Linked DNA regions of Astyanax mexicanus. The protein of the gene in region 3 purifies or fractionates together with the protein of the main gene of each other region. This does not show direct contact. Links are inferred from orthologs where the notes say so. Each region holds a gene or a part of one and is shown on either strand. Other genes may lie near its edges. The genes, in order: jun, top1b, parp1 and xpc.

Region 1 (7,806 bases), about 17 Mb from region 3:
TGAACACGTTTTATAAAGTGCTCATGAGTTTACACTGGTGTATTTTACTGAACAGCAGAGGGAGTGTTTACTCCAGGATCAAACTAGACTCCGGCGTGACCTAGCAAAAGAGGGACAACGGCGCCCTCTAGTGGCACATTGTCCCAGGTTTAAAAAAAATGTCGTTTTAAAGAAACTGGTGTGTATGAGGTTGTTCTTGTAGAAGACCTTGTCCAAAGTACATTTTATAGAGTAGAGCTGCAGGATCATCATATACCTACATGTTCAAAGACGAAATGTAATATTGATTATAATAGCAGTAGGCTTTAATCTGATGCAATTCCTGCTCTATTGTTGAAACACATGATAAACAATACTTTTTGATAGTGTAGATGCATTGCTGTTTCATTTGTATACATTATATCGTATTTTGTTTTGTTTATTGTTTGGTCTTTAAACAACTTATTAATCTGTTGTTTATTTCTAATGTATTTATTTGCTATTTGTGACTACCTGCCAAGTTCAAATGAATACCTCAATATTACTGGCTATCTCTGTAGATACAGTTAGCCAATACCTAATGTTAGTGTATATCATATATTAATGTTACACTACACTGTGAATTTATAACTACTATACAACACTTGAGGAACTGAAATAGTGCTGAAGGCTGCATGTCCCACTTTAGTACTCATTTAAATGTTAAATATATATATAGTTATTTTAATTGAAAATGTCTGTGCTACATAGTCTTTACTATAGTAGTGTGTAGTCTGTTTATTCTGTGTGTAACTTTTGTAAAGTTGTAAGGTGGACGTTGTTGGAGCATGGCTACACTAGACAAACCTGAACCTTCAAGACTGTGTGTGTGAAGTGAAGCATTAGTCAATAGTGGCTCTGAATGACATGTTTCAACATGTTTGTTCCATTTACAGACACAACAGACCCATTGTTTTCGTTTGACATCCTTTATTACAGTTCATAAATATTGATTAGTTTCTGATCAGCTCAGAAAACAAACATAAAAAATTACGTAGCACTTTTTATTACAAATGGTAAACTTAAGTACTCCCTGTTGATCTTATTTACAAATAACAATGAGTGAAACCTCATTAAGAAACTTTTTAGAAAAAGAAACTTCGAAAGAAAAGTCGAAAGCTTGACTAACTCAAATAACGTCGATTTGATTCATCTGAAGAACAAAAATGACATTTTGCAACTCAGAAGTCAGGCAGCTCTTATCAAAGGGTCTTTTTTTAACTTTATAGGACGCAACTTCCTGCTGTGGCCCGCCAACATGGGCCGAGCAGAGTCCCTAATGCAGTTCTCTTTTTCTAATACTGAGTGCGCCTGTACGCTTCGGTCCATGCACGACTTGGTCAAAGTGAACAAGGTTGAGTCTCTTTCTTTCGTCATTAGAAAACAACAGTAATAAAAGTAACAGAGTGAGTCTTTCATGCTGTCTGGTGCTGTGGACCCAGCTTGGTGGAGGTCTGGTAAGCTCCACATCTGGACGTCCTTTTGCACGGCACGCGGCCAGACAGGGTCCCCGGGACAGTCCTGGAGCACTTTACGGCTTCACCGGCCCCCCGTCGCCGCAGGCTCTGGTGCACAGCCCCTTTTACACAAGCGTGTCCTTTCAGCCCGTTTGTCCCTTCTTTCCTCGGCGCCCTCTCTGCAGCTCCTTGGAGTTCCCGCTTCAGAAGGTCTGCAGCTGCTGCGTCAACATCAGCTGGCAGCCGCTGTTCACGTGGTTCATGACTTTCTGCTTGAGCTGGGCCACCTGCTCGCGCAGCATGTTGGCCGTAGACGCGAGCTCGGAGTTCTGAGACTTGAGCGTCTTCACCTTGTCCTCCAGGCGTGAGATGCGCTCCAGCTTCCTCTTGCGGCACTTGGACGCGGCGATGCGGTTACGCATGCGCTTGCGCTCGGCCTTGATGCGCTCCTGGCTCTCCATGTCGATGGGCGACAGCGGCGGGGTCTCCCCGGGCATCTCGGGCACCGTCTGCGGCTCCTCCTTGAGTGCCTGTAGCCGCGGGTGCTGGACGGGGAGCGGCTGTGGCGCCTGTTGCTGTTGTGGTGGAGGCGCCAGGGGCTGAGGCGCCGTGGTGGTGTAGCTGACGGCAGGGAAGCCCGGGGCCGCGCTGCTGCTGATGGCAGGGTTAAAGGTGCTCAGGTCCGCGTAGACCGGCGGGTCGGCGCGCGGCGGGGCCGAGCTGTAGGCTGCCGCGGCCGGGGCCGCCGCCATGGAGCTGTTGACCGTGGTGCTGGTCTGAGGGGGCGCCGAGGTCCCGGGCATGTGCTGGTGGTGCAGCTCGGCCAGGGCCCGCACGAAGCCCTCCGCGAAGCCCTCCTGCTCGTCCGTGACATTCTTGGGGCACAGGAACTGGGTGGGCGTGGGCGTGGTGGTGATGAGCCCGTTGCTGGACTGGATGATGAGCCGCTCGAGCTCCGGAGAGGCCAGCTTAAGCAAGCCCACGTCCGGCGACGTGAGGAGGTCGCTGGCCTTGGCCCGCAGGTGCGGCTTGAGCGTGCCGGCCGGGTCGGTGAGGTTGAGCGTCATGCTGTGCTTCAGCACCTTGGCGTTGTATCCGAAAGCGGCGGCGTCGTGCTGCGAAAAGGCTGCGCTCAGCGAGTCGTCGTAGAAAGTAGTTTCCATCTTGGTCGACATAGAAGGAGAAACCAAAACTTTGTCTGAGAGTGGAGGAGCCGTTTCACTCACCAGCGAGCGGTAGAGATCTTCACCACAGCTCTCTCTCACTGTGTGAGGAGTTCAGCTGGAAGTCCGACTCAGAAGCGCTCGCCTCTCTTGGTGAATGAAGTGTTGTCTCTCAGAATAGAAGAGGAGAAGGGCAGGAGCTAGCAGCCGCTTCCCAAACTTCTCGAGCCTCGTCCTCTCTCTCTCTGTCTCTCGTTGTCCCGCGAGAGGAAAAAGTTTGAAAAAAGTTGTAAAAACAGTCGGAACTACGAGGTCTTGCGCCTCTCTCGCGCTGTCAGTCTGTTCACGGGACTACTGTGTGTGTTGTTTCTCTGTTTTAAACTCCTCTCCGCTCTTTCTCTCTCTCTCTCTCTCCGTACCTCCCTCTCCCTGTCCCGTGTGTGCTGTGAGCTCCTCCGCCGCGCTCTCCAACCTTATCTGCCGCCGCTGCCACACTAAAAATAGGGGTCCGATGGTGATGTCATGACCGCGGCCTCTGATTGGCTATGGGCGTCGAGGGGGCCGAGCCGTGGCGCGTTGCCTAGACGACCACCAGAAGATTCTTTCGGCGCGCGGAGGCTCACGGGATGAGGTAATGCTGCGAGTGGACGAGCGCGCGCGCTGCATTGTGGGATTACGTATTGTTTTTGAATATCTGGTTACGCGCTTTAGCTGCTTCAGACTGTGGCGGGACACCAGTGTGTGTGTGTGTGTGTGTGTGTCTATGGGACGGAGCTAGTGTTAGTGTGTGAGGGGAGACCGTGATTTCTGCTCGCTTAAAGATGTTTTAATTACTTTATTATAAGCTCTTTTTATTTGTATGTGTTATTATAGAAGTGAAATATATATATATATATATATATATATATATATATATATATATATATATATATATATATATATATATATATATATATATATATATATATATATGTACAAAATATAACTACAGGCTGATAATGGAACGGGAGAGTCCGGTCTGTGTTCTGTTTTTTAAAGCATAAATAATAAGTGTGGTGACACATAACTCGCCTGGTATTAATAATATAATCGTTAATCATGCCTTAAGGTTTAGAAAGTGTTTTTCTACTTTTCTTTTTTTTTGTTTTGTTCAGGAGATTAATTTCGAAACACGAGCAGTAGTCTGCTTTTGTCGTGGCAGAGTGTGTTTTTACTCACGGTCCCTTCCAGCCAATAGGAGGTGGAGGGGGCGTGGTCTGCAGTGGAGTGACAGCAGGCCACAGAGCAGGTCCAGCTCAGGGAGCCTCTCTAAAGTTCACACAAACAAAAAACGAGAAGCGAGGCTGACGCTTTCACAACAAGCCTGACTAACAAACTCTCGAAATGCAGAGGGACAGAGGAAAGTACAGACATCTGAAACTGTGCTTTAAGGCTGGGGCTGGTGTGTTTATCTGCTCGCGCGAGTCTGACGTGTGGGCTCAGCTGCAGTTGTTTTGGTTTCTGTTATCAGTCTGCGCAGGACCTTCACAGGAAAAGCACCAGAGGAGCTCTGAAGTGAAACTTGTCCCCGGTCTCTGGCACATTTCTGTTTCACTGCTCCACTGAACCCAGAGCTCAACACACACACACCACGTCAGCATGACGTTGCACTCAGGTTTCCTCGTGGCAGTCCTCAGTCGATGTTCACCAAAACCCACTGTTTAGACCTCCTGCTCAGTCCTCACCCTTAATCTGCCCTAAACCCTGTCATTATTTTAGCTTATATGGTTAAACGGCATCAACAGGCAGTTGTTAAAGTTAAGGTTGAGATTTAAAGGTTCTAATTTGTGACTGAATGCAGCAAAATAATATTTTTACTCACTTATTGTGAAATTAACATTCACTATTTTACATTTATTACAATACTTTTCAAAACAGACTATTTTAGATTTAAGATCAACGTGGTACATACACACCAACACATATATACATTATATTTTGTATATCTTTATGTTTCATAATATGACTACAAAGAATATAACACATGTATAACTCTGTTATACCATGTAATACAAAAAGATTATATCCGATTGTAATCTATCTTCCTCTATCCTGCTATTTCCCTTTGGTCTCCTTTTGGCCCTGTATTTTTTACCTACTTCTATGTCTTCTATTACGAAATGAACATCATTATTGTATAAGTCACTTTGGACAAAAGCATCTTCCGAGTGTAATGTAATATATACATTCTCACACATGTAAAGATAAATGTGTATATGAATGAATCTGGTTATTTCATAGCTCTTATATTTGGCACAGTCAATGTGACATATTGACAGTCTGTGTAATATTCTGTCTTGTATTGTGTTTGTTATCACACAAAACACACTTTACTGATCAAGGACCTGATAAAAAAACTTTCTTAACTATAAAACATTTTAGAATGTTTCTGTTGGTTTATTTATCATGGCATTGTAATAAAGTAGATAAATAATGTAAAAATAAAAGTGATTTTATTTAATCAACATTTGCAGTACCAAAGAGTGTGTTTGGTTTACTATTTTGTCTTTTCAGATATTTGTATTTCTATTTCTATTTGTTCAGTGATGCTGTGCAGCACGACTGACTTGTGGTATTTTGCATTTAAACAATAAATGTAGGTCAATCCAAAATCTATTGCCCAGCCCCTTTTTCCTAATGGCCTTATGCTGAAACAAATCTACTGTACAAAACAAAGTGTATTAGCAAGAAGAGGTTCAGAAATCTGAAACACAGCCATGCTGCTCATACATAATCCTTATTCTGATCCGCAATCGAAAGCCTTGGGCAAGTTGTTAATCATTTCTGTTTCAGCGTTGGATCTAGGCTGAAGTGTGTTGGGGGGAATCACTGCTGAATGGAAAATTCGGTGCGCACTAATGCTAGATGTACAGATTAGCAGAGATAAAGAGAGAAGAAGGAAGTCCTATAAGATTTTTGGTTGAAATAGAAAGAAAGAAAATGAAAGCTCTGTGGCCTGCTGGGGGCTGTTGGCAGACTAGCAGCTGCCAATCAAAGGATTATCGTCATTATGTTTAGCTGAGGTTCATATTGCTGTGGATCCTGCCCTTAGGTTTGGGACCCTCATGTAAAAGTAAAGCTTTTTCCAAAACATGCCTGTATCTGACTGCCTTTGATTGCTTGTTGATGAAGATTAGAACGAAAGTAGGCTTTTAAATCCACTCGTTTGTGGCTTTGTGGTTGACTGGGCTTGTCGGGACAACTTTTGAAGAAGCTCTGTGTGTGTGTTTGTGTGTGTCTGTGTGTACTCTTGAGATTTAAATTGTTGCTATGCTTATTTAAGGTATCATAGTTGCTGTAAATAAGTATGATTAACAATACATCCAGACTGGTAATGTTTAATGTGTCATACACATTTATTAGCAGCTTATTTTGTTCTACTGTCCGTTTCAGATGCATTTCCATTGGCCCTGCGCTTGTCTAAAGGTCAGATGAGTTTTATGGGCATGTGAATCTGTGAGACAAAGGTCAAGTGCTAGAGCAGTATCCTCTTATCCTGCATCCTCTTTCAGCACAGCACAATGCTTTCCCTAGGACAGAAACTGGAATGCCCAGTACTAGTTCAACATGGAAACTGAGACTTCTCTGTTTTGAAGTAGCTCTTGTTTTTTTTTTTTTTTTGGCCTTGTCCAGCACAGTCCAGAAATTGTAAAATGGGCTTAACAGTGAGGAACAGCTTCCCAGCATGCCTTTTCCCTGTTTCCATGTTACTTTAGTTTTTTTCTTTTTGTTTTACTGGTTATGTTTGATTGTGTGAGAACAAGATTTATTTCAGACATTTTAGTTTAAATGTAAATAGTTTTAATGAAAAGTAATTTAATAATTTTTGAATTTAATATAAACAATTATATCATATTTAGTAAAAATGACTACAATATATAAGCAAACATTTAAAGAGTAGCACACAAGCAATTTTCATTTATTTGTAAGTACATTTATTGTGTTCATGACAGGCATACCGATTATAACATTCGAAAGATGTTCTGTGATACAGAAAAATTACGTTTGTGACTTTGTGGTTTTAAAATCCTATTTACCACCCAGTAAATAAAATGACAAGCTCTGTTTCTATTTGCTGGTTAACGATGCAGTGTAAATTAAGTATTTTATTCTAAGGCATCTTTAATACCCGTATTTCCTTAAATAACAAAACTTAAAATAGATTTTCACAGGCAAACCTGTATTGATGCAGTCTAAGCTCAGTTATCTGAAACATGGGTGAGTGAAACATAAACATGCGTCAGGTGGACATGTTTAAATTGACAATAAACAAAATGACTGCTATATATAGATGGGTTTGTGAAGGGAATTCTTGGTCTTCAGTCTAGCAGGACAGAGTGTAAATGTGTCATGTTTATGTTGTCAGTAGTTATATGTCTCTATGTCTGTGCCACCCTGGTTGGTCTGGACCTTAAAATATACCCACTCCTTAGCTTTTCTACTTACACCCATGGAAAAAGTCATTATTTATACATTTGTGTGTACTGTATACTATAACGTTTAATAGGGCTGTAGTGCTAATATCAGGTATCCATAGCTGCGGCACGTGTGTTTGCTTTGACATACGGCCTGCCATTAGCTAAGGGGGACTCTGTATTTGGAGATCCATCTCACTGGTGGTCCCCACGTCTGTGAGGAGGGCCTAGTATAAATGTGGTTCATCAACTTCCCTTAAAGACAGTGCCAGAGCAATTAACATTTACTTCATGCTGAAGCTGTGAAAAACGAACACACAGAAACAGATTCAAGTTAGCATTAAAACGCATGCAGTTTTCAGGATTATTCGTATTTTTAAAGCTAAATAAGTATTCATGTTAAAGAGGCACCCTTTTTATGGAGTGAATTCTGCTACTGTAAGGTGCATCCATTGCTGACACAGGTGTTCAACTGAACAAACACAGCTTGTATAGTCTTCATAGAAAAGCATTGCCAGTAGAATTGGAAGCTGTAGAACAACCTCACTTGAGCCTATAAGGTTACCATGGGCAATGCCAATCTGCAACCAGAGAATATTAAGTCTTCCAGCATTGAGCTGTGGTGCAGTGGAACTGTGCTCTCTAAAGTGATGTAGATTCATCCAGTACTTGTGGATGGAGTGTTGGTGAAACATTTGAGATCCAGATCTAATC
Region 2 (8,010 bases), on a different chromosome or scaffold from region 3:
TCATAACCTCCTTGTATTAGAGTTAGGAAAACTGTAAAATATGTAAATCACTGTTAAATAAAAGAGTTTGTTACAGGTTTCTAATACTACAGAGATTCACTCTGCAGATTCTACATGTAAAGATGCACAATCTCAAATCATCCAATTTTGTAAATTGCATTAAAACAGCATCTGATTAATCAAATAATTCAATTAACCTCCAAGCCCTATGCTACTCTATCATTATTACGTCAGTGTCGTTCAGCTAACGGTTTTAAAATGATGATACTGTTGTTTAGTACGTATATTTCATTGAATTTACGTACCCTGTACAGACACGCTTCAACTTTAACATATCACTGAGTCATCTAGTTACATTCTTTATCTTGTTATTTGCTTAATCCTTGCTTTAAATCATCACAATTTCTGGGATAAATCAATTATATCGTCCTCCGCTAAGTGGTGTCAGGACTGGCTAAATTACTACAAAACATACAAATAAAGATAAGACATATTGAGATTATCAAATGTCTTCGAGGGCATGTAAATGTATTGTACGATAAATCGATAATGTAATTATCGTGACAGACCTAAATGAATCATCTTGATTACGTTCTCTACATTCTGTTATTAGGTTCATGAAAATGTAAAATGATTTGGTTTTAGAGCATTTCAATAGGGTTTCATTCGATGTGATTACCTCACAAACTGCTGTATTAAACTAAAATTGAGAAATACAACAAACATACACCTTTTTTACAGTATTATGTCATCAATATAGATACTGCTTAGTTAAACTTAAACAAATCACTGAATAATCTACTGGAAAATCTCTAATTTGTGTAATTTGCTTAATCTTGGTTTTAAGGATATATTTTACAATATAATAATAATAATAATTAATCACCAAAAAGTGGTGTCACGACTGGCTAAATTAATACAAAAATACAAATAAAAAACAATACTTTCACAGTAGTATGTCAGTATAGATACTGCTCAGTTAAACTTTAACATATCACTGAATTGTCTGGTTACATGTGTTAATTGTGTTTTTTGGTATATTTTATGATATATCGTCCACTGCAATTTAGTGTCACGACTGGCTAAATTACTCCAAACATACAAATAAACATAAAAGACAATATTAAGATATTTGATAATCAACCAGGTCATATACGCGTATTGTACGATAAATCGATAAATGTGGCTATCGTGACAAACCTAACTGAATCACTGAATCGTCGAGATAACTTTACAGTATTATGCCAGTATAGATACTGTTCAGTTAAATTTTAACATATCACTGAAGTATCTGTTAACATTCTCTACCTTGTTTTATTTGCATAATCCTGGTTTTAAGTTAAATTATCACAATTTCTGGGAAAATATATATCGTTCACCAAAAATTGAATAGACGAGATTATCGAGTATTTCAAATATTATTACGGTCATGTTTGTGTATTGTATGATAAATCGATAATGTGATTATCGTCACATGCCTGAGTGTACAGATAACTGCTGTTCATTTTAACTGCAACACATCACTGAATCACTGAATCATTTAGTTAATGCAATCTCTACCTTGTGTTATATGCTTAGTCCTGTTTTTAAGGACATATTTCACGATATATTGTCCAGCAAAAATTGATGTCATGACTAATTACTAATTACTAGAAATAAACATGCAAATAAACATAATAGATGATATCAAGATTATCAGATGTGTATCGTGTATCGTACAATAAATCGATAATGTGATTATCGTGACAGGCCTGAGTGTACAGGTAACTGCTGTTCATTTTAACTTTAACATATTACTGAATCATCAAGATTACAATCTCTACCCTGTGTTATTTGCTTAATCCTGGTTTTAAGGATATATTTTACGACATAGCCTCCACCAAAAATGTGTCACTACTGGCTAAATTACTACAAATAAACATAATAGACGATATCAAGATTATCAGATGTGTATCGTGTATCGTACAATAAATCGATAATGTGATTATCGTGACAGGCCTGAGTGTACAGATAACTGCTGTTCATTTTAACTTTAACATACCACTGAATCACTGAATCATTTAGTCAAATCATTCTATATCCTCTGTTATTGTTTAATTCTGTTTTTGTTTTCTGTTTTTTACGTGATTATACAGTATGTGAATCACTTTTCTTTTTGCCACAAGCAGTATTTAAGTAAATACGTCTTAATTTCGCGTTTTAATTCGATTTTAATAAGAGAATCGTGTAGCTATCCTCTGGTGAATCGACTCCTGGCGATTCGGCTCTTTGACTCGCTCGTGCAGTAACTACAGGCAGAGAGCAGAGAGAGGAAAAAGAAAATGGCGCAGAGACTAAGTCCTCAACCCCCATTCCTCACTTTCAGCGCTGAAATACGACCCGATCCCGGCCCGAACCCACCGAACCGGGCTCGGAGTCTTATAAAACACCTCCGGTTCTGTCGGGATCGCGGGGAATATTGGAGAATTCGCGGGGGTAAAGCGTGTTTTTGGGCGCTGGTTTTGAACAATAGGCGGCTGTGAGTGAGGGTGAGGGGACTTAGTCTCTGGGACGCCATTTCTGTTCTCAGAAACTAACAGTCTCTCCTGCTGGATCCAGCGCTCTCACAGGCTTTAAACACCCCAATATCGCCCCAAAACACAAAAATTTAGCTCAAAACTCACCGTTAGACCGAGATCCAGAGTCCATCTGTGGAAAAACAGCGGGGTTAGTGCGGGAATCGCCTCATTTTTCATTTAGAACAGCAGCACATTGTTCACTGTTAGCTACAGGAGGGCAGTTTAAATGGCCAAACGTGGGGTCAGCCAACTTAACATACAGAACAAACCCTTAAAAACCTTATATACACCTTTTTAAAAATTTAATACACTATTTAAAAATTAATATTGTAATTTCCATGCCTTTTAACTACTGTAATCAGCTACTATTAGCAGCTAGCTAACCCAGGTTATTAGATAAGAGCCACACACACAGAGAGAGAGAAAGCTAAGCTAGGAGCTAGGTTACAGTAAATAAAGCAGTAAAAGCTGTATTTCTATCTCTTTTTCTCCGTATTTCTTCGCGTTTTGCTGGAGCTCGGTACCTGGTGGTGCCTGTGTCCGTTGTCCCCGCTCATGGTGGGCCGGTGAGGGGCTGGAGAAGGCTGGAGCAGAGTGTGAGAGAGAGAGAGACAGTGTGTGAGGGACAGATGCCGGTAGGGAAAAGCTCGCTGGAGCTCAGACACTTCGCTTATCAGGCTAAGTCCCACTCTTCCCCCACTGCGCATGCGCAGCGCCGTTCAAAAAAAACTCCTCACGCAAGCACACGCTCCGCTCGCGAGGGGGGCGAGTCCGAATCCGACGCGTGGGGGGCACTACGCAGTGCACACTATCGAGTGAGCACTACTATAAATATAGAAACAATACAAACAAATCAACACACACACACACAAACACTGTACTCTGTATTATATTGAGAGTGGGTAATGGGTCAGTGTATATTAGCTGTACTGAGACTTATTTATTTATTTAAAAAAAAATAGAATATAATTGAAAAGTTGCTTTATTTCAGTAAATCAATTGTATAGATGTATTACACAGAGGGATCTATTTTAAGCGTTTATTTATTTTATTGTTGATGATTATTATGGCTTATAGCTAATAACAAAAAAACAAAACAAAACCAGAGTCTCAGAAAATTAGATTTTTATACAGTCTAATTTACTGATTATCAGTGATGGTTTGGAGAGACATGTCATCTGCTGGTGTTGATCCACTGTGTTTTATTATCAAGTCTAAAGTCAGTGCAGTTTTGTTTTCCCACAAAATCTTACAGCACTTCATATCTTACAGCTTCCCTCTGCTACTGACAACTTTTATGGAGATGCAGATTTCCTTTTCCAGCAGGACTTGGCACACTGCCCACACTGCCAAAAGTACCAATTGGTCTTATTATATAATATTCAAACTTTCTGAGACACTGATTTTCAGGTTTTCATTGGCTGTAAGCCATAATAATCAACAATAAAATAAATAAACACTTAAAATAGATCACTCTGTGTGTAATACATCTATATAATATATGAGTTTCATATTTTGAACTGAATTACTAAAATAAAGTACATTTTAATGATATTTAAATTTGTTCAGATGCACTAGTCTATGCACTAGTGAGAGAGAGAATTGAAGATATATTATTGTGTGTGTGTGTGTGTGTGTGTGTGTGTGTACAGTACCAGTCAAGTTTGGACATACCTTCAATTCAGTGTTTTTTTTTTTTCATTATTTTAAAATGTTTCGCATTGTGGATCAATATTAAAGAAAAACAGATTTATTCTTCAAAATAGACACGAAAACAGCAACTTTACAGAGGAGATAAAACCATCTTAACTTTCAATGGAAGTTAATGTAATTTCTATTGTTCTAAAACAAAAAACACACAAACGTTTTTGAATACTTTTTTATTTAACTATGGTGTTTAGTCCATTAGCAGTGCTGCTTTTTAATTTTCCAACTTATCAATTACTTTATTACTGCAGAATTTCTTCACCTGTCAGATTCACTATAATTCTAATTCTCCTCTTCTCTGCTCTGCTGAAACTGAGACTCAGTCCTTAATCATGTTAATCTGAGCTAAAGGCTAAAGCTAAAGCTGTTTCCATGTGGGTCAGCCAGACGTCTTCCTGTAGCAGTTTTTTTTCTCCAGTTTCTAAGAGTCTTTATTTGAAGGTGTAGGAAACAGTACTCACCGCTCTCTGACTTCATCTGTAATTTCCCTAAAGAAAAGAAAAGACTTCTACTTTTAATAGTTACAGAGTTCTCTGTGTCTTTATCTAGTTATTATGATGATGAAAGTGTGAATATGCTGTAAGTGTGTGAATGCTGCAATAGAGAGTAGTAACTTCATCTGTTATATCACTGCTTTACTACAGACAAAGACTTCAGAAACTGACATTTAAAAAAAATCCTTTTCCAAATCTCAGTATATTTCCATTGTTACAGACCAGAAACTGCTACAGGAAGATGTCTGGCTGACCCATATGGAAACAGCTTTAGCTCAGCGTAACACGAGAGAAGAATTAGAGTCTGGCAGATGAAGAAAAGCAGTAATAAAGTAATTGTTAAGAAAGATAAAATAATAAAGCAGCTTCTCTGGATCATACAGCACTGCAGATACTAGACTACTAAACCAATAGAAGTGTTTAAAAACTTTGAATCACTCTCAAATGAAGTGATTAAAAATAGTTTAAAAATTAAAATAGTTTAAGTAAACTAAAAATATGCATTTATTTACTTTTTTTTGGACTTACCGTAACAGGTTTTAGATTAAAATTCTGTCAATCAGTGGGGACATGCAATACTGTGCTAATGCAAGTCAGAAAAGAAAAGGAAAAAAAGAAAAAGAAAAATAAATAACAAAGAGAGACTACAGGAGACCAAATATAGAAAAAAATACATTTATTTACCTTAATATTACATTTAAAACTGTCTTTAAAAAAAGGTAAACATTTCATACAACTAGAACGCTGTTACGAGTGAACGCCACCGTGATTAGCAGCCCAAAAATTAAACCAGATCTCTAACAATAAAAAATAAACGCACACGGAAAAAAACAGGACACACCTCCACAGTGAACGTGGCTATAGGAACAGTGTTAAAGTGGAGCTTAGAAGCACCAAAATACTGTGTAAAAATGAGAAAAACACAACAATATCTTAAGACAAACACCAAAAAAAATTCACGCCAGCATCCACCTGCAGCGTCCGCACGCGATAAAAACGCCTGACCCGGTTCTGAGGGTCAGATCTCCTGAGGGTCAGTGATCGGGCAACGGGACTGTGCTGTATCACAGGCCTCCACCAGAAGGTCCTGGCAGCCCGAGCAGACGTCCTGACTGTGCCAGTCCCTCATCGCCAGGCTGTGGAGGGACACCGAGCTGGACATACAAGCTTCTAGAACCAGAGGAACCCTGGGAAAGGGACAAAACCAAACCCATCAGTCACAAACACCTCCATCATCCATATTTCAGCTCCACTGATCATATACTGTAGGAGCACTGAGCAGCAACAATGAAACAATGAGGTGTTTAAGAACTCCAACAGCACTGCTGTATCTGATCCACTCACTGTACCAGCTAAACACACACACAAAATACCTCATACACCACTACCATGCTAATCACTGCTAATCACTGCTAATCACTGCAATGCTGAGAATAAATGATCCAACACCCAAATAATAATAATAATAATAATAATAATAATAATAATAATAATAATAATAATAATAATGGCTCTGTGTTGGTTTTCTCTCATGTGGAGTACTAAACATTGTACTTATACATAAATTAATACTGTGAATGTACTTGAGATTACTTTCAAAAGACCATCAAATGATGAAACTGGCACTCATCAGGACCACCCCTGGAAAGGAAGACCAAGTGATACTGTGTTTAAACAAATTGTAAGAGAACTGAAAAGAAGACGGGCTATTGATAGAAAAAAAAACAATAAAAATATGGGACTTTCTGACCTTTTAACTTAATGTTACTATTTTGATATGTGAGAAAATGTGATGAAATGTGATGATATTTTGTATTTGATTTTTGTATTTGTAAACAAAAAAAATGATTTTTAATAAAGTTTACTAAAAAAAAAAACCTTAAACATGACAATTTTTTGTTAAATTGTATTTGCAAGTCTTTCAATCGATAAACAAGAAGAAATTTAATAAATCCACAACTTTTCTAATGTCCAGCATTAAAAAGCTTTGCATGGAATAAGCAAAGGAAAAGCATATTACTCTCATGTGTTCTTTAGGGCCAGTGTTTTTGGTATGATACAGATCTTGAGAATAAAGGGATTTCTTTGGTGAATTATGGTAGAGACTGTCCGTTTTTATTTTTATTTTTTAATTATTGTACGTTTGCATTTCCACATGTAGTAAAACAGGGTTCCCTTCTCTGTTCTGCATTTTGTACAACTATCAGGGATTTTATAATTTAAGTTATTGGGTTTTTCAGTAGTTATATACTAGTGCATCTAGTGCAAAAAATCAAATATTATTGAAAAGTTACTTTATTTCAGTAATTCAGTTGAAAATATGAAACTCATTATATAGATGTATTATATAATTGGCTTACAGCCAATAAAAAAATAAAAATTTAAATATTATACAAGATCAATCGATACTTTCTGCAGTGTGGGCAGTGTGCCAAGTCCTGCTGGAAAATGAATTCCGCATCTCCATAAAAGTTGTCAGCAGAGGGAAGCATTTGTATCAGTTCTGGATCAATAGTGATTGTGCTTAATAAAGCTTTTTACCTATTTATCTGCTGTAATTTTATGTTAAAGATCCTCTTTTTAATGTGTTATTTATATTTTATTTATTTTTATGTGTTTCTTATTATTAGGGAAACAATTCTAAACACAGCCCTAATTTTAAAATATTAGTTTTAGCTTAGTTACGCACTCACTATATAGAAACACTTGTGCACTGTTCACACTCTGCTTCACACTGTTCACACGTGTAAACAGCTCGATCCGAATTCATTCAAAACAAAAGCAGAGCGTTTACCTTTCCACCTCTTTACCCTGCAGCGGTTCAGCCCCACCCATTCACACTGACTGAAGCTATAAGGAGTGTTGTAGTCTGGACTGATTCTGAATGAGGAACCACACAGAGGGAAGGTATTTAAACCATTATAATGCAAATGTTTCACCCCGGGGGAAATCGGTACATTCTGACTGTTTTCTGCACAGGAAACAAAAACGGAACTGTGTGAAAAATCATTCTGAATGTTTTTAAATACATTTTAGAAGACCTGCTGCTCAAAGCTTAAAAAGGTACACTTCAGATTTAGATATAGTACATTTAAAATTTAAACTTCAGCATATTATTCCTGTATCATGAATATCAAAAAATCTGAATAGTGTACACATACCAACTCTAATAATCTTAACAATATAATGAAAATTACATTACATTACATATTATTGCACGTTTGACAGGTCTGTTACTTTAAGAATATTTT
Region 3 (7,867 bases):
ATTCTTCCAAGAAATGCGACAATCCAAAGGTCCATTCATGTCATGGAGATGTTAACCATAATGTTTGTGGGTGATAACAGGTTGAGAATGTTAAACTTTTCAACAAAAAAAAAAACAACATTTCTGCTGAACTGTTGATGAAAGGCATTACACTGACATGGCAGGAACTAGTTTAGTGTCCCATGACTTTTGCCATGTCCCATAAAAAGTTAAGGAATGCTGAACTGACCAGCAGCATGTGTGTCTGGGGCCTCCTGCATTAAATGTGTATGTTCACTCTGACAATTCTAGCCAGACACCACAGCGCTGTCCACTGTGGGTGGTGATGCCTTCTATATCATATTCCTGATACACATTTGACACTGTGGATTGAGGAATGTCACACACTCAGAAATGGATTGTCACATCCGTTTGACACCTAATACAAGACCTTGCTCCAAACTCTGGTAATTTATATCACATTGTTATGAGCACACTGGCCAATTGCCTCACTCACAAGATAATACCACACAAATCATACAGGTGTGGGTGTTCCCAAGCAACGCTTCATGATCATTTTAAATTCTGCTATCCTATGACTTGTGGCATGTACGTGTAATAGGCTGTCTGACTCACCTAGGCTGCCAATACAGCCTCAGATTTTTCCTAGATTTTTGAACATTGCTGTGAGGATTTTTTGCGTGTGTTTAGACATTTGCATACACAGTGATCTGTGCAAGCAAAGCCAAAAGATTTAATATTAATTCTGTGTCAAATGCATATTTTTGCTTCCTCATTTAAGAGAATATCCACTTGATGGCAATGGCAGTCTGAAATACCTCTCTCCTCAGATACATACTGTATATTTACATTGTCAATATTAATATTGTAAATATTTTATATGGAACATATTAAGCACATTTTATCATTATCATAGTACATGTAGAATACCATAACATGTTTGCAAAAGATCATTTTTAAATACAATCTTGTTAAGTAAATGTAAGGTGAGGCGAGATAAATGATAGGAACCCCTTTCCTTTATACAGAAATAAGGAAATTGCTGCTGTAATTACTGTAAAGTCTTCAAACTGTAATGTTTGACCAATACTGTATGTAATGCTCATTCAAATTGTTTTAGTATTAGATCTTTGTCATTTTCTTAATCAATTTTTATGCATTCTTGTGCAGTGAATTTCAGTTGACTGGATACACTCTTATAAAAGGGGTTCATCAATGGTTCCTTAGTAAAATAATTGATTCTTTATAGAACAACTCTCCATGGACATGACCACAAGAAACATTTGAATGCTTAAGTGGGTTTTTGGTAGTGTAGAGTTTTCTTCACAGTGATGGAAAATCAAAAAAATATCCACTATAATTATAAATTAAAGAACTATTTTGATAAGAGTGTAAACAAATCACACGTCTTCATTTACTCAAATTTACTGGACTAAAAGATTCTCTGGCTGAGACCAATTAAAAAAAAACATAGTGATATTACTTTATTTTGACTTTTGACTCTGTTTTATGTTACTATGTTTAATGCAGTTTTGTAATGTTCATCATTTTTAAACGTCAGTGTCAAAATGCAGCAGCCATATTTATCTTGCCTTGGAGTAGAAACTTATGAACAGTGAATGGATAATTTCTCTGTAGATTCCTGTATATTCTCAGACCATCAGCAGCACCCATGTTTATCAGGACTGCATGCCTTCCTCTAAAGTCGCTGTTATAATCAATGCTGTAATTACTTACCCATTCCAATAGTTTATTTTCTACTGAACTGCTGGTGCAATCTGTGACAAATTCTATGTTCAAACTGGCAATGTATCATCTAATTATCACATAATAAAATATGTTACATAATGAAAAAAAAAATGCTTTTGCTCATTAAGACTGCTGCAAAGTGTAAACATACCCTATACACCATGAATTCAATCCATGCTTATCATCTCTTATCATCTCATCATTGCTGCACACTATGACAGTTCCTGAAAATTATATTATAAATATTTAAACCCTGTGGATTTATCTTGCAATGATTTACAGCTGTTGCCCTTAAACAGTCAAGTGAATTAGCTGTCTAATATTTCTTTGTAATAAGTGTCCAGAAATCTATCAGTCACTGGAGGTTAACCTACTTTATGTGGAAAAAAATGTATCTATTTATCAGGATCCCACAGAACTACCACACGGCAAGTATCAATTGGGTGATGGATCATTCTCAGCACTGCAGTGACACTTGCACGGTGATGGCAAAGTTGATCAGACACAGCAGTGCTGCTGGTGTTATTAAACGCCTCAGTTTTATTGCTGCACTGACAGGCCTATAATTGAAGAATAGGGTGAAAAGAGATAATAAAGTATACAGACAAACAGGAGGACTAGAGTCTATATTATTCAATATATATTATATAGAGTCTATAATTACACTATTTAGCACTGTAAAACACAAAACGTAATATTGTTCTCTTTAATCAAAATTATAAGCCAACTAAACAAGAAATAATGAATGGCGCCATAAAATATAGCAAACTAACTGCCTTAACTAACATTATCAAGTTTCTTGTTAGAAGTTCGCCTAAGTAAATCATTTGTGTTGGAAACTTTACAAATTGTAATAGTTGAAAACTACTTGAGGCCAAGCCAACTACTCTGCACACCTGATGTTGTTTGCATATTCGGCGTATCCTTCCACCTCTCACTCACTATCAGTGTGTAGTCATTCTCTAAAAGGTGTCTTTTCTTGGAATTTATATGTATATATTTATATGTGTTTTATCGTAGTTAACTGCCTGGTCTCAGTTAATGACATATACATAACAGTCATAAATTCTCAGTTGCCAACTTAAATTCACAAAAGTATTGTGCTCCTTATGTTTGTTGGATTTATGATAAAATATGTGATTGACACAAGTTAATTGTTCTAGTTGATCTTAAAGGATAGTCAGCACGTTTTATAGAATCTAAATCAGGCCAACTAACAGAACAAATTGAATTTTTAAGTTGGTGAGTCTTAATAATAAAGTTTTTTATGCATATAAAAAAGATTATCTGAACTAAAGATTTCTAGATTTCTTTTTTCAAAACTTAAAAGTTTGAGTTCAGAAAACTCCAGAGAACTCGAACGTCCCAACTAAGCTTCCATAATATATTTGCACTGTAGTAAAATGCTTTCATTTTTAATGTGCATTTATGTACCATCCTTCTCCTTTACTTGCAGAAACAATGCTGTGCGTCGATCACCTGGCCAGTGTTTTTTAACCAGTCGGCCGCCGCCCCCCAGTGGGACGTTGAGGTACTGCAAGAGGGTCGCAGGTCAAAATGAATATATATTTATTTATTTTGCAAAGTAAAAATTCTTCCAATATATAGGTAATTCAGAAAATGTAAAGTAAGATGTAGCAGAAATTTATTCAATTTACAAAACATGTTTAGGTCGAGCTCGTTGATGGTTTCATGGAGTAAATTATTAATACAGTTTTTGGGACAAGAAAATAATGAAGCTGCAACATCTACAAGTGCAAGCATAAATTAAACCAAGAAAAAACAAGAAAAGCAAACATAAATTAAAATTAACAAATATAATAGGCTCCATGTTCACAGGAACCAAATAAAAGAAAGCAAATAAAATATGATTAAAGGTTTTGCGGTGCATACACACATATTTTAGGAATGCCAACATTATTAAAATATTGGAAAAACATGCAAAATAAAAAAAGCCTAAATCTAGAATTCCTATTAGAACCATTATGCTTTATTTTGACAAATTATACCAGAGGAAGTAACATAGAAACCAGATATTAATAGCAAGAATTCTTCTTTTGATTGCTAAGTAAATTAGTTGATAGTGGAAAACAAATAACATAATGGAGGGAAGGGGATAATGATTTGTATTTAATGAAAAACATGCTAACCTACAAAAAACTACAATTAAAAACTGAAAAAAAAAAATTTATAAAACAAAAAAAATATTTCTGACAAAATAGCGCCCAGTTTTTCAGTTATTATACACGTAATGTATGTATTTACTTTTTTCTGTACTCTTAGATATAGCTGCATTTTTTCTTCCTTAAGGAATTGTATAAGGGCTTTAAAATAAGACATATTATACCTGTATTGTCCTTAAAGCACAAATGTTAAACAAAAAAATATGTTAAAAAGTTTTGCGGCGGGTTACCCTGACACAGAGGACAGAATCACTTACATGCGCTTCAGATCCACGGCGGTGTGGGGGTGCTGGGGCTGACCCGCCTCTGTGACTCTGAGCTCGATTAGCGGTGTCTGAAACCCTCATTGTGTTGGTGTCGATTGGTGAGGTCTGGTATTCTGCGCGGGCTGGGATTGTTCAGTGTTCACTCTGAAGCCGCTGTTTGTGTTTTTGCACAGTTGAATATTGGAGATGGCCGATGCGCAGGACGACAAGCGGTACAAAGCTGAATATGCGAAGAGCGGGCGAGCCTCCTGTAAGAAATGCAAGGACAACATCGCTAAGGACTCTCTGAGGATGGCCATCATGGTGCAGGTACGGAGCGCTGCACGCCGTGCAGGAGGAGCCGGAGCCGGGGTTTAAACAGTGTCTGAAACACGGGTTTAAAACCCCGATTAGTGTAGTTAATTAATTATCCCGGGCCTGTCTCTGAACTCACCACATTCACCACAGGGCCAGCCAGACTCTCCGCCTCATTTAACGTCTTATTGAGAATGAATTTTATACCGTTCCACCTTAAACGTTGCCCGGTAACACTGTGGGCCCACAGGCGGCAGCGTGTAGCTGATACGCCATTTAAGGTGGAACCGAAAATCACAATAACAAGCATGAGAAAGAGGAACCAGCAGCTCGAGCTGTTCCAGGCCTGAGTCAGTCCCGCTGCATGAGGCGCTGCAACTGGCTGCCTATCAGCTAAATAAAGGGATGGATGTTTATTCTAGTTACTGCTTTAACACAAAAACACTCCTAATGGAAAATACATTTACAACATGTTACCAAAGTATTGTACACTCAGTCTCCTTCAGAAAAAGGATATTTGACCATACCATTTTTCATTTTAAATTATTTTACATTCACTGCTTTTAAGTTGTGTGTTTTATTTTATATTAAGTGTAGTTCCACAGGTTTAAAGCACTGCAAAGGAAACAAAGGAATTCAGAGATTTAGTGAGAACTTAACTACAGGAACTCTGCTTTGTGTACAGTGGGGGTGTACAGCTTTATAGCATGTTAACATACTGTAAAATACTGTATAACAGATCAACAGTGAGCCTACACAAGCCTGTATTTACTCTTGTTGTTAACTATTATCTTGAGCATTTATTTCTACATAAAGTTTTATTTATGTATTTAAAATACAAATGCATTTTCTGGTGCTTTGTTTGTTTATGATGGTAAGTTGTCTGTTTATGTCCAAATAATAAAGTGTTTGTAAGTGGTCATTTGTCTCAACTTCTTTGGTTGCAGAAGTGATGAATGAAATTAAGGTTTTTGTGTTTTACTCCACAGTCGCCCATGTTTGATGGAAAAGTTCCACACTGGCATCATTTCTCCTGCTTTTGGCATCGAGCTGCAGTGCAGGCGACCTCAGACATATCTGGCTTTACCGATCTCCGCTGGGAGGACCAGGAGAAGGTGAAAAAAGCGATTGAAGGTGGAGGCGCTCCTGGAGGTAATTGTATTTTATTATTTAGATAAATAAGACAAAGCACAATCTTACCAAACGAGCAGTATAACATGTTCAGTTAGTTAGAGGGTGTCATAGTAATTCGGGGAAAAAGAGGAGAATTTTGCTTGAACAGCAGTGTTTTTAACACCACACAAAAAGAGTGTTGATCAGCTCCATTTACTTTTAAGTCCACCACCTTCCATAGAAGAGAAGCTGCATCTCTGGTTGAAGATTCTAGATTTAGTACATTTAGCCAAACATTCTTGCTCAGAGAGATGTCTGTTATGAAGCTCCAGTAAAGCGTCACAGCACCTGATGTTTCTGTCCCATCTGAACCTTGTAACTGAGATTCCACTTTAAAAATGATCAGATCAGATGTATGAACATTTGGGAGGATGTTTTTTTAAATTCAGCTATACATACATATATATATATATATATATGTATATATATGTATATATACAGGAAAATAAACTCTCGGAAGTGGACATGGTCTGAATAAGTTGTATACTGGGCAGTGGTATAGATCATTGTTTCTGTATCTTTTAATTCTCTCAGCAAAAAGTGATCAGAAAGGAGCCGCTAAAGGAGAGAAGACGCTTAATGACTTTGCAGTGGAATATGCTAAATCCAACAGAAGCACCTGCAAGGGCTGCGATCAGAAAATTGAGAAGGTACATTACTGATGCCTTTATATATTATTGTTTTAGCAGGTCATGACTATATTTGAGTTTTCATTAATGTAACCCTGCTGAAATTAAGAATTGGTTAAAACATTTTTACGACTTTGCTATACTTCAGGATCAGATTCGTGTGTCAAAGAAAACAGTGGACCCCGAAAAGCCTCAGTTGGGCCTAATCGATCGCTGGTACCACACAAGTTGCTTTGTGAGCCGGCGTGAGGAGCTGGTCTTTAAACCTGAGTACAGTGCAGCTCAGCTTAAAGGCTTTGCTGCCCTACGAGCCGAGGACAAGGACGAGCTGAAGAAACGACTGCCTGCTGTTAAGACTGAAGGGTGAGTGTCAGCCTGTATACTAATCATAGTGTCTTATGCAAAATACAAATACACTTTAACAATTGTATTGTTGTTTTTGTAATGTAAAGTACAGTTCAGTTTTATTTGTATTGAAATCATTGCAGAAAAGTTGTTTTTTTTCTCTGCACAGTCACACTTTTCATTCAGTTTTTTTTCCAAAATATGATTGTATGCATATTATTTTAGTTCCCATGACTTTGCCTGTAACTTTTGTAAGCCCTATTATGCAGTGTAGCAAGCAGTTCAGTAACTGGGAATGACATATGTTCTGCTTGAATGTTAAAACGTTTTTAAGCCTAAACAAAATCATGAATCATGTTTGAGAAGTTATAGTTATTACAGGAAAAATTAACTGCCTCAGGATGTTTGTGTGTTTGTACCTCCACCCTAATCCTCTCCATCTCTGACACCTCTGAAGCACAGGAAGATTCCCTTGAAGGCTTCTCTGAAACTCTTCATCTTGTAGGCATAGAGGAACGGGTTGACAGCTGAGTTAGCATGGGAGAGGATGATGGCAGTGAGCAGCAAGGGCAGGGGCACAGGGCAGGTTGGGCACAGTAGCAGAAAGCAGTTGATCACATGCAGCGGGATCCAGCAGACAGTGAAGAGGAAGAGGACTAGGAAAAGTGAGGTGGCAGTCTTCATTTCTTTCTTAATATTTGCCGCTCCATCAGCTCCACCGCCTGCCACGCCTCGTTCTGCAGCGATTCTCCTGACCTGGTGCTTGACTGTGACAAAAATCTGCGCATAGATGAGAAACATGACCACTAGGGGCGTCAGCACGCAGGCGAAGAAGTTGAAGTAGACCATGTAGGTCATGTCCACCACCAGCACGAAGAAGCAGTAGCCTGAGTCGGGTGGGGTTTTGTGCCAGCCCATTATGGGCACCAAGCCAATGAGGAAGGCTAAAACCCAGGTGACCAGAATGACCAACAGTGCGTTGCGTGGCGTCATTAGGCTGTGGTAGCGAAAAGGCATGAAGATGGCCACATAACGCTCCACTGCCACAGCCAGCAAGCTGAATATGGAACTTTGGGTCAACATGATGAGCACAGACAGCATGAGCAGGCACAGGTACAGGTTGTTGCGCGGGATGCCAGTGTCTGTCAGGATGGCACAGGGAATGGCCAGTGCACCCACACACACGTCCGCCACTGCAAGAGATACCAAAAAGTAGTTGGTAACTGTG
Region 4 (7,494 bases), on a different chromosome or scaffold from region 3:
AAAATCTGAAAAGAAGAATTTCAACAACTTTGAAAATATTCCCAAGTGCATTCACAAAAAACACCATCAAACACATTATGATGATGAAACTGGCACTCATCAGGACCAGCCCAGTAAAGGATGAGCGAGAGTTCCCTCTGTTGTACAGGATAAGTTCATCAGAGTTACTGACTGATGTTTATTTTACCTTTAAGGTGCAGATGATCACAACAGCATGAATGAACTCACCTTCCACCTCCTCCCAGTCCTCGTCTTCATCACTCTCCTCCTCTTCCTCATCCTCCTCTTCTTTTTTTACCTCCTTCTGATCTTCCTCTTCTTTGATCTGGTTGATTGGCGGCGCAGTGATATGTGGAGATATTATACTGACGTCCTCACTGGAGTCACTCATATCATAAGGCTCCGCCTTCAGAGGCTCTTTCTTCAGGGGCCCCGCCTTCGGACGCCCCGCCTTCATAGGCCCCGCCCCCAAAGGCTCTTTGTTCTTGAAGTATTTGCTTCTCTTCGTATCTGAAGGATCATCTGATTTTCTGGAGGCTCGGACTCTGGGTTTGAGGTTCTTCATCACGGTTTTGGCTGCAGAAGCCTTTTCTGATAAAATACAAACCAAATATATAAGAAATATATATATATATACACACACAATACAATTCTGTATGATACTTCACAGCATCCGTGAGTTACTGAAGAGGATTAAAGACTCAGGTAAAATAATCAAATACCATTAATTACAGATTTATTGGTGTTATTTATTTTTTAGACACACAATTTAACAATCAATAATTTTTCACTGCAGGTTTATTAATCCTATTTACTTAGGGATTATAGCGCCACCATTTGGAGTAATGAAGCAATAACTTTAATTATTCTAATTGGGGGGGTATGGAAGCCATATTCCCGTCACATAAAATAATAATATTAAAAAAATATATATATATATATATATATTTATGCTATCGCATTTTTTTGTGATACTATCGATAGTTAGTCATTATCTTGAGATACTATTTCATGATTTTGCGATAGTAAGTCATTATTTTGAAAAAAAAAAAAATTATAAGCAATCACACTTGCTATCACAGAATATTGACTTAGTGTCTCAAAATAATGACTTGCTATCTCAAAATAATGAGTTCCTCAGTGTAGCTTTGTCAGGCAGCATTTACTGTTAGCCGCTAATGCTAATGCTTATGCTGCTGCACCCAGCCTTAGTGAAAATCTGGAAATCTAATCTTACTGTAAATAAATGGAATCGTTTTACTCACCCAAATAAACAGTTTTCAGGAGAGAAATCTGTGTAGATTAACATCCAGCACTCATTTAACTTTAAAAGATGATGGTTTATTTAAAAGTTACAGTTTTATTTACTTAGCTTAGCTTTATCTAACTTCTGTGTAACTAACTTAGTCAGTGTTGCATTATAATGCACCTTATAATTTAGTGCGCCTTATAGTGTGAAAAATATGGTAAACAAATTTAATTTACAGATTAGAGTCTTTATAGTGTACAGTGTGTGTGTGTGTGTGTGCGTGTGCAGATGCTGCAGCAGCTACTGTTAATACAGCTGCACAAGAGCAGCCATGCAAAACCCCGCCCCCTTCACCAGCTGCAGCCTGCAGAAATGACTGCACTCGCATTAACAACAGCACGTTACACAACCTCGTAACTCACACACATCTCCCAGCCTACAGCAGTCACTCATATTACAGTACAGCACCGTTACCGTAAAACACTGATAATAAAATATACTGTTTAATAAGAGGAAAAGTCAACATATCGTACTATAAATTGATAAATACTTTTTCATGACAGATCTCGCAACATTTATTTATTAAGTATTTTGTTATAATTAGAGTATTTATTTTTGGAATCTCAGCATTCTTGTCTTATTGCCAAAAAAAAACATTCCCAATTTAGAGTTTATCCACCCAAACTGGGATTTCAGCATGTTAGCAGGTTAGCTGTATAGCTAATAGACACCCATGTAACCACCCTATTACCTTTAGTTTTGGCAGGTTTACCTTTTTTAAAATATAGCACCAATTAATAGTTTGAACACACCTTCTAATTCAACGTTTTTATTTTTTAGAATGTTAGATTTTATTGTCATTCACATCATATCTTACAGTCCAGTTTACACTCAAAAGAGCAGTTGTTAAAATAGATAAATATAAGATAAAATAAAATAGAATAAAATGGATAAAGATAAATGCACAAAATGGGGAGAGTAGGCAAGAACGACAAACTGTGACAAAACAATAAAAAATGCAAAATAATTCATGCTCAACTGATTTTGTAATAGTCTTTAATATTTGGGGGAAAAAAGAGATAGATAGAGTTTTTTACTAATGTACTCTAAATGCAGAGAAATGCAGAGAAGAGAAATATCTAATTTTGTGGCCTTATTTATTTTGTGCAGTTTTGATATTTAAATTAATTGTACTAACTTTTATACATGTTCCTCTTCAGTTTCTCAGTAAAAAATGCTCTTAAATTCACTTTGCATGCATATGTATTTTTAAACAAGTTTTTAAAGGCTATTTTTGAAAAATTAATTTGTTTGGTTTGTATTTTATAAATGTGGGACCCGGGCTGAACCCCTGTTCTAATCCATATTATGAGATCAAGATCTACTCAACTAAGTAAAGTTAAATAAAATATAAATGACTTTAAGAAAAAATTAAGGTCAGTCAATGCGAAAAGAAGAATTTTAAGAACTTAAAAAAAGTATCCTCAAGTGCAGTCACTGCAAAGACCATCAAAAACGTTATAATGATGGAACTGGCACTCATCAGGGCCACTGCAGGAAAGGAAAGGAAGAGCGAGAGTTTCCTCTGTTGTACAGGATAAGTTTATCAGAGTTTCCAGCATCAGAAACTGCTAAAAGTTAACAAACAGCTCCCAGATAAGAGTATCTAAATACTTCACAGAGTATTTTGGTTTGTTTAACACTGTTTTTAAGTTACTACATGATTCATTATGTGTTCCTTCATAATCTGATACATCACTTTACTATTCATTTACTGAATGTAGGATAAAAAGCGAGAGTGCTGTATTTGCTACATTGTTATTTATTAATGATGATCAGTGATAGAATGTATCTATTCAGTACCTTTGATGTTGTGGGTTTTGGAAGTTCTGCTCTTCTGCTGGAGCTTCTTTGTTGTGTCTCTTTCAGAGCCAGTATCTGCTGCCTGCTTACGTTTAGCCATGTTGCCCCCCCAGCCCCTCTGATACCCCTGTAATGCCCCTCTGCTGCTGCTGTAATGCTCTCCGGGTATGAGGGCAGGTAAACTGTAGTACAGGTGGAGTAAAGTTGTATAATCTCTCATTCAGACCCTGCAGTTACCCAACACCCCCTCCATCCTTTCATAACACACCACTGCCAAAAACCACACCCCCCTCTACACGTCACATCCGCTTCCTGTCAGCCCCGTCCCGCGTCCAGGAGAGCACCAACCGGCGGGGGGCAGCACTGCACCGAGTTAATACAAGAACAGCGAGCAATACAGCGCTGAAAATAAATAAGAGAGCACTTAAAAATGATGAGTTTCTTTGATTTTACCAAATTAAAAACCTCTGGAATATAATCAAGAGGAAGATGGATGATCACAAGCCATCAAACCACCAAACTGAACTGCTTGAATTTTTTACACCAGGAGTAAAGCAGCATAAAGTTATCCAAAAGCAGTGTGTAAGACTGGTGGAGGAGGAGAACGTGATGCCAAGATGCATGAAAAAAACTGTGATTAAAAACAAACCAGGGTTATTCCACCAAATATTGATTTCTGAACTGAATCTATTCAATTCTTTTGAATCAATATTTGGTAAAATAAACTTTTATCCACCTTCAGACAACCTGGTTTATTAGTGAACACCGTGTACCAGCTTTACGTAATCTTATTAATTCTTAATTTGAACTGTTTTAGTTTTTTCTTAGTTCTTTATTTTAACTTTTTATTTCTTCATTATTTTATTTTTAATAGTTTTGTGTTATTGATTTTTAACTTAATTTGGTTTATTATTTATTATTTGTATTTAATCCAGCTGTGTGTAATTTAGTCTCAGTATAAATACAGCTGTTCTGTGAAGGCCTCAGTGGTTTGTTAATAAACACTAGTGAACAAACAGCATCATGAAGACGAAGAGGAACTCACCAGACAGATCAGAGATAAAGTTGTGGAGAAGAAATTTAAAGCAGGGTTAGGTTATAAAAAAAATCCTAAACTTTAATCATCCAAAAATGGACCTGAAAAAGTATTCTACAACTGTTTCTACAAACCTACCAAGACATGAACCAACCATCCATCCAAACTAACAGATCCAGCAAACAGGAGAGCACTGATCAGAGATCAGCCGAGACCCATGATCACTCTGGAGGAGCTGCAGAGATCCACAGCTCAGGTAGATCAGGAGAATCTGTTCACAGAACAACTATAAAGCTGTGCACTTCACAAATCTTAAGCTTGAGGTTTTTACAAGCCACTGCAGACAACCCAAGTCTCCCTGAAGCTGCGGGAGTCTCCCGCATTTGGGTAGCGGCTCCCTGATGCCCGCGAGTCACATATAATCTCCCGGAATTCAGAACGAGCGCCCCAAACGCCACACAGGCCACAGACTTTTATTCTCTAATCGCGTGTGGGAAGGAGAGAGAAAAAACAGAGAGGGTTCAGTTTTTAGTGTGGGCGGGCAGTGTTTTTCCCCCTCCCGGACGGGATTTGTTCAGTGAGTGAGAGAAAGCAGATCATGGCGGAGGCAATATTAATAATTATTGTAATATGATATGAAATGATTTTGATGTGCAATTTTTTGTGATATTGTAACTGTCAATGTTTGTCAAATAAAGGCTTTTTTTCCAAAAAAAAATAAAGGAAAGCAGAGGCCGGTCCTTCCAAAAAGTAAAAAAAGAAAACTAATTTCACCTCTGAATACTCTAAATGTAATTTAAAAAAGTATAATTAAAAGTAAAGTTTCGTTATCCTTTGGGTGTGTGTGCAATTTTTTTTTGGGGGGGGGGGGGGGGGTGAAATCAACTTTTGCAACTTGGGATGTCTGCCACTGTATGATCAGTGGAGCTGAAAAAGTAATGCGTTTTAATGTTATGGGAGTAGAAACAGGAGGTAGTTATAATGTTACGCTTGAACGGAGCACAGTGAATCAGAATGTGTTTTGTTAGAACAGTTGAGCAGAAAGCTAAAGGGTTAATGATGAGTTTTATTAATGCGTTATGTCTGTGTGTTCAGTAAGGCTTCGTTCTGCAGTGTTTATTAAATAATAATCAGTCGCTGCTGCAGAATAAACTCAGAGTGATGAAGCTGATGATGAGTCAGGAAGAGCTTCTGCAGCTCCTCCAAATGATTAAATCTAACGCAGCGCTGATTTATGGCGCTCCAGCGCAACTGTCTTTTGGCTCTGGGGAGAATAAAAAACTTTAACGGCTAACTTTTTAATCTTTTAATCAGCATAAACAAACACAAACTTTAATAAAACTAGCTAAAATTAGCTTTTAATACCTTTTTTTATTATTTTCTTGTAAGGTGGAATAGGAAAGTTAGCTTGTTGGCTAACTTCTAAGAATAATTACTAGCATTTTTTATGGTCATATGAACTCATGAAAACACTGCACTGACAGATTTCATTTTCCAGCAGGACTTGGCGCACTGCCCACACTGCTGAAAGTACTAATTGGTCTTATACAATATTACTCTGAGGAAAATAAAAAAAACTTTAACTGCTAACTTTTTAATCTTTTAGTCAGCATAAACCACCATAACATTATATAATAACCATAACAACATTTTATTTAAACTAGCTAAAATTAGCTTATTAAGTAGCTTTTATTTGATTTTATTTTTCATTCTGTTGCACCATTTAAGGTGGAATGGTAAAGTTAGCTTGTTAGCTAGCTACTGAGAAAAATTTGACTAGCATTTTTATTGTCATATGAACTCATGAAAACACTGCACTGACTTTGGACTTAAAAGGATGTTCAAATTAGGTAAAGCACACTAAAAGTGCATTTTTAATTTAATATACTTTATTTAAAAAATACACATTGAATATACTTTCTTTGTATTTTCCTAAAATGTATTTTTAAGCCATGCTTTAAATTATACATTGTGTTGATAAAAAATATATATATTGGCATTAAATACTGCTTAAAGTTCACTTTAGTGTAGTTCTTTTTTCTTTTTTTTAAGGTGTACATAATACGTGCATCAATAGTAGTGCTACATTTACAATATACTTTAAGTGCATAAAAATTATGTTTAAACAACACACATACTTAAATCTACTTGTCACGGATGACCCAGGCAGGGAGACGAGGAGGCGGACACAAGTGCAGGTAGGGTGAAAATAAATTATAATTTAATAAATAAATAACAAGATAACAAGGAACAAGTAACATGAAACAAAGATACAAAAATAACCAATAACAAATCAAAGAACCTAAACTAAACCAACTAGAGATAATATAAATAAACAAACAGGGAATATATACAAGGAGCTAAACTAGGAATCAACACAAACAGGGTATATACAGGGAGCTAGGGAACAAGAAATAAAACAAGAAACTAGAAATAAACAAGGAAATAAACTATAAACGAGAAAACAAGAAATAAACAAGAAACAAGGAACCAAGGCTAAGAGAGACACTGAGAAACGTTATGAAAACACAGAGAGACGAACGACAGGTGAAGGTGCAAAGACCGACAGAGACAAAGTGGCACAGGGGATCTATATAAGGAAACAAGAAACACTCTAGAATTGGAAACACCTGGGGAAGGGGCGGAGCTACAAATGAGACACAGGTGGAAATCTACTAAGACGGGAGACACAGGGGAGCACAGGTCACGTGGGGAAGACACACAGAGACACGAGACAGGGCTAAGACCTGACACTACTTAAGTTTGTTGTATGAAAAAAGCACTCAAAAGCACAATTTAATAAGTTACCGTAAGTTGTTCCAAAAATAGTACATTCAGTATGTATTTAAGTATGTATTTTAATTTGTGTATTTTTCCATGTTAAGTATACTTAAATTAAATATACTTAAATAAACTTAATAGCCTACACTTTTCTTTTACAAGGGTCTGCTGACAACTTTTATGGAGATGCGTATTTCATTTTCCAGCAGGACTTAGCACACTGCTGAAAGTACAAATTGCTCTTGTATAAAATTGTATAATATTACTCTGGAATAACTTACTCTGAAACTTACTCTGAAAATAAAGAAAACTTTAACTGCTAACTTTTTAATCTTTTAATCTGCATAAACAACCATAACATTATATAACCATAACAAACCTTTAATAAAACTAGCTGAAATTAGCTTTTGTTAGCTTTTATTTCATTTTATTTTCTATTCTGTTTCACTATTTAAGGTGGGATTTAAGAGTTAGCTTGTTAGCTAGCTACTGAAACAAAGTACTAGCATATTATATGTTCAGGCGTTTACAAGCCTGAGATAATGACGACTTTACGACAATATTA

Evidence for each region.
Region 1: the proteins of parp1 (region 3) and jun purify together in Homo sapiens (co-immunoprecipitation; 3 studies listed by BioGRID and IntAct, with this or other methods). This does not show direct contact. The link is inferred for Astyanax mexicanus from reciprocal best matches to the Homo sapiens genes PARP1 and JUN.
Region 2: the proteins of parp1 (region 3) and top1b purify together in Homo sapiens (affinity purification with mass spectrometry; 4 studies listed by BioGRID and IntAct, with this or other methods). This does not show direct contact. The link is inferred for Astyanax mexicanus from reciprocal best matches to the Homo sapiens genes PARP1 and TOP1.
Region 4: the proteins of parp1 (region 3) and xpc purify together in Homo sapiens (affinity purification with mass spectrometry; 4 studies listed by BioGRID and IntAct, counting the BioPlex papers as one, with this or other methods). This does not show direct contact. The link is inferred for Astyanax mexicanus from reciprocal best matches to the Homo sapiens genes PARP1 and XPC.

Annotation. Positions count from the first base shown.
Region 1 is NC_064408.1:62,906,307-62,914,112, reverse strand, and holds jun (transcription factor AP-1), read right to left. Parts: upstream 3,126-7,806; 5' UTR 2,651-3,125; coding exon 1,679-2,650; 3' UTR 929-1,678; downstream 1-928. UniProt on the Homo sapiens protein: Transcription factor that recognizes and binds to the AP-1 consensus motif 5'-TGA[GC]TCA-3'.
Region 2 is NC_064420.1:49,261,417-49,269,426, forward strand, and holds the start of top1b (DNA topoisomerase 1), read right to left. Parts: upstream 3,239-8,010; 5' UTR 3,116-3,238; coding exon 3,083-3,115; intron 2,689-3,082; coding exon 2,664-2,688; intron 1-2,663. Other genes in the region: zgc:114123 (protein spire homolog 1), read right to left, coding at 5,778-5,946. UniProt on the Homo sapiens protein: Releases the supercoiling and torsional tension of DNA introduced during the DNA replication and transcription by transiently cleaving and rejoining one strand of the DNA duplex.
Region 3 is NC_064408.1:79,679,641-79,687,507, reverse strand, and holds the start of parp1 (poly [ADP-ribose] polymerase 1), read left to right. Parts: upstream 1-4,272; 5' UTR 4,273-4,384; coding exon 4,385-4,507; intron 4,508-5,481; coding exon 5,482-5,644; intron 5,645-6,199; coding exon 6,200-6,315; intron 6,316-6,442; coding exon 6,443-6,657; intron 6,658-6,665; exon of another isoform or gene 6,666-7,065; coding exon of another isoform or gene 7,066-7,867. Other genes in the region: adenosine receptor A2a-like, read right to left, coding at 7,066-7,867. UniProt on the Homo sapiens protein: Poly-ADP-ribosyltransferase that mediates poly-ADP-ribosylation of proteins and plays a key role in DNA repair.
Region 4 is NC_064419.1:49,674,279-49,681,772, reverse strand, and holds the start of xpc (DNA repair protein complementing XP-C cells), read right to left. Parts: upstream 3,246-7,494; 5' UTR 3,213-3,245; coding exon 3,113-3,212; intron 592-3,112; coding exon 229-591; intron 1-228. UniProt on the Homo sapiens protein: Involved in global genome nucleotide excision repair (GG-NER) by acting as damage sensing and DNA-binding factor component of the XPC complex. Has only a low DNA repair activity by itself which is stimulated by RAD23B and RAD23A.